Linked DNA regions of Arabidopsis thaliana. The protein of the gene in region 1 interacts with the protein of each later gene in a pairwise test. Each region holds a gene or a part of one and is shown on either strand. Other genes may lie near its edges. The genes, in order: CBSX3 and RLK4.

Region 1 (4,281 bases):
CATTTAGGTGGTATCCTAAATCCGAATGATATCTTAGATGATGAGTTTGTGTCTGAGCAAATGACACTGGAGTTCCCTGATGGTGAGGATGGAGAACCAGTGATAACAATTGGCAGTGAGGTATTGGCGGCGATGAATGGTTTGTTGAAGAACAGCTTGATCGTGAAAGTGCCCGGGCGTAACATGACAATATCAGCATTAAGTAGAAAGCTTCGAGAGATGTGGAAACCACGAGGAGCAATGTCTGTTGTGGATCTCCCTCGTAAGTTTTTCATGATTCGGTTCGAAGCGGAGGAGGAATACATGGCAGCGTTGACAGGAGGTCCATGGAGGGCGTTTGATCGCTATCTCATGGTGCAAGCTTGGTCACCGGAGTTTGATCCCTTGAGAGACGATATTGTGACCACACCATAATCGATTTGATTTGAAGAAAATCTATCGTTTTATATTTTGCCTTGGTTTACTTGTTTGTATTCAAAGAATTGGTTTACTTGTTAAGATATTTTTCATGGTCCAAAGACACGGAAACTTTGTACCGAAATCAAATTTTCAAAGTAATTCTATTATTTCATAACACACATGGATACTTGACGCAAGATTTGATAACAAAAACAAACATCATATCTTTCATAAAGAGATCAGAGTTTTTGGTTTTATTCTCTTGCTAAGTAAGCGCAAGAAGAGAAGCAGCACAAGGCCTTAGTTTTGACAAGTTAAACAACGAAACAACACAAAACATCAAACACAACAACAACAACAATAACAACGAGGACTGCATATTTACACTGATCTGGAAGCTTTTCAGATTCAGCAGCACAAGACCAGACGACACAACAGGGAACTCTTTTCTTTCCATTATTCAAGATCTAGTAACCTCCCTGAATATACGCATTTAGGCGTTGAAGCTCCTCTCTATGCTCATGAACCACTGCACGGACAACATCTCCTATGGACACCATTCCAATCATGCCCTTGTCTTTGATTACCGGAATATGCCTGATTCGGTTATCTGTACATTACAAAAACACAAACCCGCATTTTTATTTGCTTCAGTAGGTTTTAAACCCAAAAGCTTGTATCTTTAGTGGAAAAATATCAAGTTGTCTGCTTACCTGTCATCAGTTGCATAGCACGCAAGACCTTGGTCTCCGGTGTCACAGTGATAAGCTTATTCTGCAATTGCCAGTTCACAGATCCAGTCAGTTTCAATCCACAAAAGCAAAAAAAAAATCGTACAATCGTGCATTTACATACCTCTTCAGTCATAATGTCTCCAACTTTTGTTGATTTGGATGATCTCCCTTGCACAATGATCTTCCGTAGATAATCTAGAGAAATCACAATGCCGAAAAGTGAATCACACATACCACAAGACACAACAAAAAAATTATTAATGATTAGATCTAATTTTACCTCTCTCTGTAATGATACCAGCAAGAGCTTGTTGCTCACCAGGTTTCACAACCACCAAGGCACCAACATTGTGTTGTGTCATCTAAACAAAATCAAACACAATCAATTCCAAATCCACATCGAGATATCTAAAAAAGGAAAAAGAGAGTAGTATAAGCATACGGATTTAACAGCATCATAAACAGTGTCATCAGTAGTACACCAAAGCCAAGATCCATCAGCACTTTTGCCTTTGGATTTCATGACATCGGAAATAGTTGTGCTCTCGAATCCAGATTCCTCCATACGTGCAGGTTGAGTTGATTCAGAGCGTGAACAAAACACAGAAGGCTGAATCGCCGGGTTAATCACACGGAGATGTTGCAGCACAGAGCCTTTCACAACATTTCCACCGGAGACGAAGGATCGAATCACACCTTGCATCTTTCAACTGTCAACAACCAAATAATCAGTTCCTCAAAACGAGATCTATAAAATCAAGAGCTAAAAGAACGAGTCTAATGAAACTAGATCGAAAAGAGAATGATCCTAATTCTTAAACCGAGTGTATTTGATCAACAAATCCTAAAATGGAAAGTTTCCTCAATCAGATTCAGTAAAAAGCATCAGAGATAGTGAAGAAGGAGAGATTCAGACCTGAGATTAGAGAAGAAGAAGAGATCGTAGTGGAGCTTGAGGTTGAGCTTGAAAACCCTAGAGAATGGGGAAGAGACAGCTGACCAGAGAGAGTTGAGTGGAGAGTTTTTTGAAGGGTTCTCTAATGGATAATCATCAAATATATAAATAAACGATTTTCGATAGCGAAATACTGGCGACTTTTTTCTTTTCCTTAAAATATCTTACAAAATTTAAAATAGTGATGACTGTGTTGCTTCATTCAATTATTCTATCATATCCTGACAAATATCAACAGGCCCACTTAAAAACTTAAGGCCCACTTTAACAGGGCCAGATTTGGATACAAATAATATTCAATCGAGACGACGTAGAAGATACTCAACCTCAACGAGCTTAGTGAGAGGGATAAGCCATTCCCCGTAGATGCGAGAGGCAAGCAATGGATCCACTTTATACTTCTTCTTACTCTCATCGCCATAGCCAGAGTTGAATTTTACTTCTTGTCCAAACGTTTCTGCTTTCTTCTGCACTCTCTTCTTAACCATTTCTTCTACTTTCTCAAACGTCAACAGCTTCATCAAAGCCTCTCTATCCTACAGTCGAAAATCAAACGATTATGGTGTGAATCATATCATTTTAAAACCACAGTGAAACAGAATCCACAATGTGACACTAAGTTTACCTGAGCGCGAATCGCAGGCTCGTAATCTTGTGGAGCATCTCTGAATTTGACCTCAGCTACAAATTTACCGTAGTGAATCCTTCTCGAAAGAGCCTTACACAAGATCAAACATATCAGATCAGACATCATTAGCCAAAAGTAGAGCTGATTTTGTTATGTATACTCAATCATCTCCTTACTTGTAAACAGGCGAGATCACTAGCAGCAGTTGATGGATAGTTGCCATCATCGCCAGGTTTGACAAACAAAGGAAGCAATTCTTTAAAGTAAATATCCCAGATTTGTTTGTTAATGTTAACAGATAGAGCCTTAGGGTGCAAAGCCTAATCAAGAGAAAGAAAAGTACTGTTAGACTAAAGCATTCAGAGTTCTAAGAAAAATGCTCAAGACTTTACTACATACATACCGATGGATATTTGTGCGTAGGAAAAACCGAGTGAGGAATGTTCTCAAGGAAGAAAGGATTCTCTTCCGGGTATTCATATCTTCCTACCTATATAATATACACATACACATAAGGTTTTCAAGTAAACCAATGAACAAACATATAGGCTCAATATCCAGAAACTTAAGAATATATATAAACCAATGAGATGAATATATTAATGAAATAAGACTTTCAGACATTATAAAAATAGAAAACAATAGTCCTCCATTTCCAATCTCCACATATAATGAGGTTTTCATAAGGAAATCTCGTATACATATGATAAAGTCGGAGCCTTTTATTGGCAGATTCGCACTCAAATCAAAACAAGAAGTTATCACACAATGAGATTATACAGGCAAAGCCAAGTTATCATCTTTTGCAATGGAGGAGACACATAGCAAACAAAAGGCATGCTAATTCAAGAATCCAGGCTTATTAAAACCTCAATCAAGTTGACTTGTAGCTTACTTTCTGCTAATTTCATGGAACAATCTAAAACAATGCTATACCAAAACCGAATCAAACGAAGCATTGATATCTCTGTATCTAATTTTAGCAAAAGGATCAGTTTTTAAAATGGGAAGCAAACCTTAGCTTGGATGATTTCTGTCTCTCTGACGAAAAACTCAGTGAGAGAAGAGAAACTTCCAGAATCTAGACAACGAGATTCCTCGAAAGCAGGAGAATTGAGTGGAAACTTAGCTCTCTCGATCAAGCTGAAGACGATGGTGTCTTCTTGCCTAATCAACGATTCTCTGATTAAGTCAAGACTCAGTACATTGGAACAACCAGAACCCGAATCCGATTCGAAGACTCTTGCCATGCCGCTTCAACTGTATCCCCTGCTTGATGGTGTATAAGTAAGCAAACAATTCATTCATAGAAACTATAGAGATGAGCAATTGTGAATGACGAAAGTCAAAGGACTTATTACCTGGAAATATGAAGCTTTCTTCTTCTTCTTCCTCAATGCTAAAGTGTTTTGGACCTTTTTGCATAGATTGCTTCCTCAATCAAGGAAAACAGAAACAAAAAAAAACGAAAGCGTTGAAATCAAAACAAGATCCACATCCGATGATTTGGGCCCAACTATATTCACCGACTGGCCCATAAAGAATTATTATATCTTCTCACAATA
Region 2 (5,781 bases), on another chromosome or scaffold:
TCGTAATGTTCTTCTCACTATTCACTCTTCCCATACCTTTGTGTTTCTTATGGATGACTTTGCCATCAGACCAACTTTTCTTTTGTCATTTTGCTTACTAACACTGTAATAATCACTTTTTTTTTATTGGGGTTTCTTAAGAGTACTTTTGATTAATCTTGTTGCATTCAAGTAATCGTTGTTCAGTTCACTCTTTTCCTGCAGTGGCAGTGCATCTGTAAAATGCTTCAAGGACTGTTGTTCGCTACTCTTGCTTAATTATTACTATAGCTGGTGAAAATGGGAGGTTGCTGTAGTTCTTCGAGGAAGTCACATCTTGTTGGAACACCTGTTTACTATTATGTCAGTAATCCTTTTCACCATCTTGCATTTGTGTTGCTTTGCACTACTGACTATCTATAGATTATGATTTTAGTTAAAACAAATCGGGACAAGAGCATGATTTTAGAATCTCAACAATTTCTTGTAACAATCTCGCTTGAGTGGTCGATAGTAGACTACTAGAGGTCGTGAGTGAGCTGTGTTTGAAAAATGTCTTCTGAATTATCTACAGTTATTTGATTGTGACACTCTACAAAGTTTCTATTTATTAAAAGTTTGTTACGCAGTGTCCAGAATCTTTTGAAGAGCTTGTCCCTTCAGGAACCCGTGCTGGTGTGGGATCAGCATTCACCACAGGCCTCTTGGTTGATATAGGTTTGGAGACATCTATACCTGACACCTTTTGTGCTCCTGCTCCTCTTCCATATGATTTGCTTTTGGGGCGACCACAATGCACAGATTCTGAGTCCATCAAAGGAAGGATGAGTGGAAGCAGTTTTGAAACGCTAGCGACGTGTGAAGATCTTGGGGAATCAGACTGTAAAACTCTAGCCAGCTCAGTCATTCTTTCACCGAGGAAATCAGATTTCTCGAAACATCAAGGATTGAAGATATTGGTTGATGAAGAGGAGGACTGTTGTCCTATTTGCTTTGAAGGTAAGAAATCAAGACCGTTGAATAAAAAGAACTCTTTAACTCTTGTTTTTATGAGAGAGCTAAACAGAGTCGTGGATTGCACTATGCAGATTATGATGTTGAGAATCCAAGACTAACGACAAAGTGTGAGCACGAATTTCACCTCTCTTGTCTTCTGGAGTGGATTGAAAGAAGCGATAGATGCCCAATATGTGATAAGGTGTGTTTCCCGCTTGAGCTTTCTTTGGCAGATCGATTGTCTTGATGATCAAAGAATTGCACTTTACTGTTGGGAATTCGTAGTTAGATCAACCATTGATGGTTGCGTAATTAGGGTAAATAAGTGCACAATTTGGCAACTAACTAACATTCTGTCTTCTTTAACACAGGAAGTTGTGTTTGATGATCGCTTGAACTAGCATCATTACTATCCCCTGGCTTGAAAGTTTGAAGGTGTGGCGCTTTGTTTGGTTAGTCTACTACATAATTAGCATACATCTATTTTGTTTCTTCCTCACACACTTTAAGTGTTGGGTCTCCACATTTCCACTTAGTTTTGTCGTATTGGTTATGTTCGTTTTGCCCTTGTGCGATCATATAGATATACATAACAATTGTAAATATTACCTAGCTTCTTGTTCGTTCGTTTGTGATCTCCGGGGTGTGATAGAGAAGAAAGGACCACCATTTCAGTATTTTGATTGTTTGCATCTTCAAAATCATGTCCACTCTTGTCTTGATCCATGATTCTATCTTAGCAATATTGGTTAATGCCCTGATCTGGGAATCATAATAAGCATGATTTTGTTTGTTTGTTTGGTTAAAGAAAGAGAGAGATTCTATTAGATATGGATATAGTATAATTCCATAGTCTAAAGAGAAACTGAATATTCCAAATAGTAAATTGATCCACATGCGACTAGTCTTGTCGTGTGTAAGATATTAAAAAGAAAATGATTCTTTGATTAACACCTTTTGTCTGCTGCATAAAGTAATTAATTAGAAATAATTAAGAAAAAGGTTAGGAATCATTTAAGAAGAAGAGAAAAAAGATGTCATGGCTTTGACTTCTAGCCACTTATGTCTGCCACTGCCACCTCCCTCTTCTCAATTCCTATTCTGCCCTTCTCTTTCTTTTAGTTCCTATCCTGCCGGTGTTGATGAATGAGGGTTAATATAGTAACTTTGGCGTTAGGAACTATAGTTCCAAAACCTTTTTCTGAATGAATTTACTTTTTGGAGGTATGAAGTCACAGCTTTTACAGATTTTATCTTGCAAAAATTCTCTCCACATTTCAAACGTCTAATAGTTAAAGAGAGCTTTTGTTTTTTCTTTCCCATGTCTATCAGTATCACCACCGAGAAAATATCATCAACACCACCAACCAAACATTAACCCACCCGAGAGTACCCAATGCCATGTACTACTTATCTTCCTCTTCTTCTTCTCCTCTTCCTTCTTCCACCACCATCTGTACAAAGCAAAGTTATCATCAAAGGAAACCAAACCATTCTGAGTTTCAAAGCTATTTTCCGGCTTGGTTTCTTCAGCACCACCAATGGTTCCTCCAATTGGTACTTGGGTATCTCTTACGCTTCTATGCCAACTCCCACCCACGTTTGGGTCGCCAATCGAATCCGACCCGTTTCGGATCCTGACTCTTCCACTCTCGAGCTCACCTCCACCGGATACCTAATCGTCAGTAACCTCCGTGACGGCGTCGTTTGGCAGACGGATAACAAACAACCCGGAACCGATTTCCGGTTCTCTGAAACCGGGAATCTGATTTTGATCAACGACGACGGTTCTCCGGTTTGGCAGAGCTTTGACAATCCGACTGACACGTGGCTTCCGGGGATGAATGTCACCGGTCTAACAGCTATGACTTCGTGGCGGAGTCTCTTCGATCCTTCGCCGGGGTTTTACTCTCTGAGACTGAGTCCAAGCTTCAACGAGTTCCAGCTTGTTTACAAAGGAACCACACCGTATTGGTCCACCGGAAATTGGACCGGAGAAGCCTTCGTCGGCGTTCCGGAAATGACCATTCCTTACATCTACAGGTTCCATTTCGTTAACCCTTACACTCCCACGGCGTCGTTTTGGTACATCGTCCCACCGTTGGACTCCGTTTCCGAGCCACGGCTGACGCGGTTCATGGTCGGCGCCAACGGCCAGCTGAAGCAGTACACTTGGGATCCACAGACGCAGAGCTGGAACATGTTCTGGTTGCAGCCGGAGGATCCTTGCCGCGTTTACAATCTCTGTGGTCAATTAGGGTTTTGTAGCAGCGAATTGCTCAAGCCCTGTGCTTGCATCCGCGGTTTCCGGCCTAGGAACGACGCCGCGTGGAGATCTGATGATTACAGCGACGGATGCCGCCGTGAAAACGGTGATTCCGGCGAAAAGAGTGATACTTTTGAAGCCGTTGGTGATCTACGCTACGATGGTGATGTGAAGATGTCACGGTTGCAGGTAAGCAAGAGCTCTTGCGCCAAAACTTGCTTAGGAAACTCTTCTTGTGTTGGTTTTTATCATAAGGAGAAGTCTAATCTCTGCAAAATTTTACTCGAGTCGCCGAATAATCTGAAGAATTCGAGCTCGTGGACTGGAGTTAGTGAAGATGTATTGTATATCAGAGAACCAAAGAAAGGGAATTCAAAGGGAAACATCTCTAAGTCTATAATTATATTGTGCAGCGTTGTTGGGTCAATCTCAGTTCTTGGGTTTACATTGTTAGTGCCATTGATTCTGTTGAAGAGGAGTCGAAAGAGGAAGAAGACTAGGAAACAAGACGAAGATGGGTTTGCTGTGTTGAATCTTAAGGTATTTTCTTTCAAGGAGCTTCAATCAGCTACCAATGGGTTCTCGGATAAGGTCGGACACGGCGGTTTTGGGGCGGTGTTTAAGGGAACATTACCGGGTTCTTCTACATTCGTGGCTGTGAAACGCTTAGAAAGACCTGGAAGCGGGGAGAGTGAGTTCCGGGCAGAGGTATGCACCATTGGGAACATTCAACATGTCAATCTCGTTAGGCTTAGAGGTTTCTGTTCAGAGAATCTTCATAGGCTTCTTGTCTATGATTACATGCCACAAGGATCCTTGAGTTCCTATCTGTCTAGAACAAGCCCCAAATTGCTAAGCTGGGAGACCCGTTTCAGGATCGCGTTAGGTACTGCCAAAGGGATCGCGTACTTGCATGAAGGATGCAGGGACTGTATTATACACTGTGATATCAAACCGGAGAACATTCTTTTGGACAGTGATTACAACGCCAAAGTGTCTGATTTTGGCTTGGCTAAGCTCCTTGGACGTGACTTCAGCAGAGTTCTAGCCACGATGAGAGGGACATGGGGCTACGTGGCTCCCGAATGGATATCTGGTTTGCCCATCACGACAAAAGCTGATGTGTATAGCTTTGGAATGACATTGCTCGAGCTGATCGGTGGTAGAAGAAATGTCATTGTTAATAGCGATACACTGGGAGAGAAAGAGACAGAACCAGAGAAATGGTATTTAGAGAATGTCTTTTACTTGGAATCAATTGTAAGAGAGAAAAAAACATATACATTGAATCAATGAATCCCTTTTCAGGTTCTTTCCGCCATGGGCAGCGCGTGAGATCATACAAGGCAATGTGGACTCTGTGGTTGACTCTAGACTCAACGGAGAATATAACACTGAAGAGGTGACGAGGATGGCAACGGTGGCGATATGGTGCATACAAGACAATGAAGAGATAAGGCCAGCAATGGGAACGGTAGTGAAGATGCTTGAAGGAGTTGTGGAGGTGACGGTTCCTCCACCGCCTAAATTAATACAAGCTCTTGTCTCCGGCGATTCATACCGAGGAGTGAGCGGCACAAGCTGTAGTGAAGGCCATGGCTGTTCGGATCTCAATACAGGTTTGTCTAGCCCTGGCTCACGGTCGTCTTTTGGTAGACCTTCTCCTTGATCAATTTTGTAAGGTGATTTGGTCAAAACCAGCCTTAAATGTTTTAAGTGTTGCTCTCTAAGAGGGTTTAATTAGTTTAAACTGTATTTGTTGGTTGTATGATATTTGACTTAATCGACATTAACAGTTAAAACCATGGATTATGTCTTTCTTCTTAGTTTGAAAGTTCTTGTCACTTTGATAATCTTCTAATGGCATATATGTAAATTCTTACAGAATGTATTGTATGAGAATCATTACGTGATTGAATCAATAAACCCATGTCGATACTTTAAACTATATGAACGGTCACAATAAACCCATGTTCTCTCTTCTTCTACTCCACGGCTAACCTTAATCTTAGGCAAACCAGAAACACAAATTACAAGAACAAACATAAAAAAGAATCTCTTGTCTTGTCTGCTTTCAATCCTCATGTCTCTAATCCTCCCCAAGTAGAGAAATATAAAAACTTAGACAAATATTGCCACAACCGGTGAAAATGGAGATCCCGGTTCGAGAGGAGAGAAGATCCTCCTCATCCTCTGCCGGACCATTACAACAAACCATCTCCTTAGCAGCTGACGACGCCATCGATAGCGGTCCATCCTCTCCGCTTGTCGTCAAAGTCTCTGTCTTCGAAACAGAGCATGAGACGACCAAGCTTATCCACGCGCCGTCAACTCTGCTCGGTGAAACCACCGGAGACGCTGATTTTCCTCCCATTCAAAGCTTTAGAGATGCTAAACTTGTTTGTGTGGTTGAAACGTCTAAGCTTTGGGAAATAGCTGCACCTATAGCTTTCAACATTCTTTGTAATTACGGTGTTAACTCCTTCACAAGCATCTTCGTTGGCCATATCGGCGATCTTGAGCTTTCTGCCGTCGCCATC

What was found.
Region 2: the proteins of CBSX3 (region 1) and RLK4 interact in a protein complementation assay, tested with the Arabidopsis thaliana proteins (one large-scale study listed by BioGRID).

What each region holds. Positions count from the first base shown.
Region 1 is NC_003076.8:3,428,307-3,432,587, forward strand, and holds CBSX3 (Cystathionine beta-synthase (CBS) family protein), read right to left. Parts: upstream 2,187-4,281; 5' UTR 2,050-2,186; intron 1,844-2,049; 5' UTR 1,837-1,843; coding exon 1,576-1,836; intron 1,496-1,575; coding exon 1,414-1,495; intron 1,329-1,413; coding exon 1,255-1,328; intron 1,174-1,254; coding exon 1,113-1,173; intron 1,010-1,112; coding exon 867-1,009; 3' UTR 536-866; downstream 1-535. Other genes in the region: CM2 (chorismate mutase 2), read right to left, coding at 2,385-2,624, 2,714-2,806, 2,893-3,036, 3,120-3,206, 3,733-3,966.
Region 2 is NC_003075.7:146,587-152,367, forward strand, and holds RLK4 (receptor-like protein kinase 4), read left to right. Parts: upstream 1-2,025; 5' UTR 2,026-2,371; coding exon 2,372-4,467; intron 4,468-4,549; coding exon 4,550-4,910; 3' UTR 4,911-5,146; downstream 5,147-5,781. Other genes in the region: RHB1A (RING-H2 finger B1A), read left to right, coding at 280-342, 609-978, 1,068-1,177, 1,347-1,376; AT4G00342 (uncharacterized protein), read right to left, coding at 5,147-5,326; AT4G00350 (MATE efflux family protein), read left to right, coding at 5,392-5,781. UniProt on the Arabidopsis thaliana protein: Serine/threonine-protein kinase.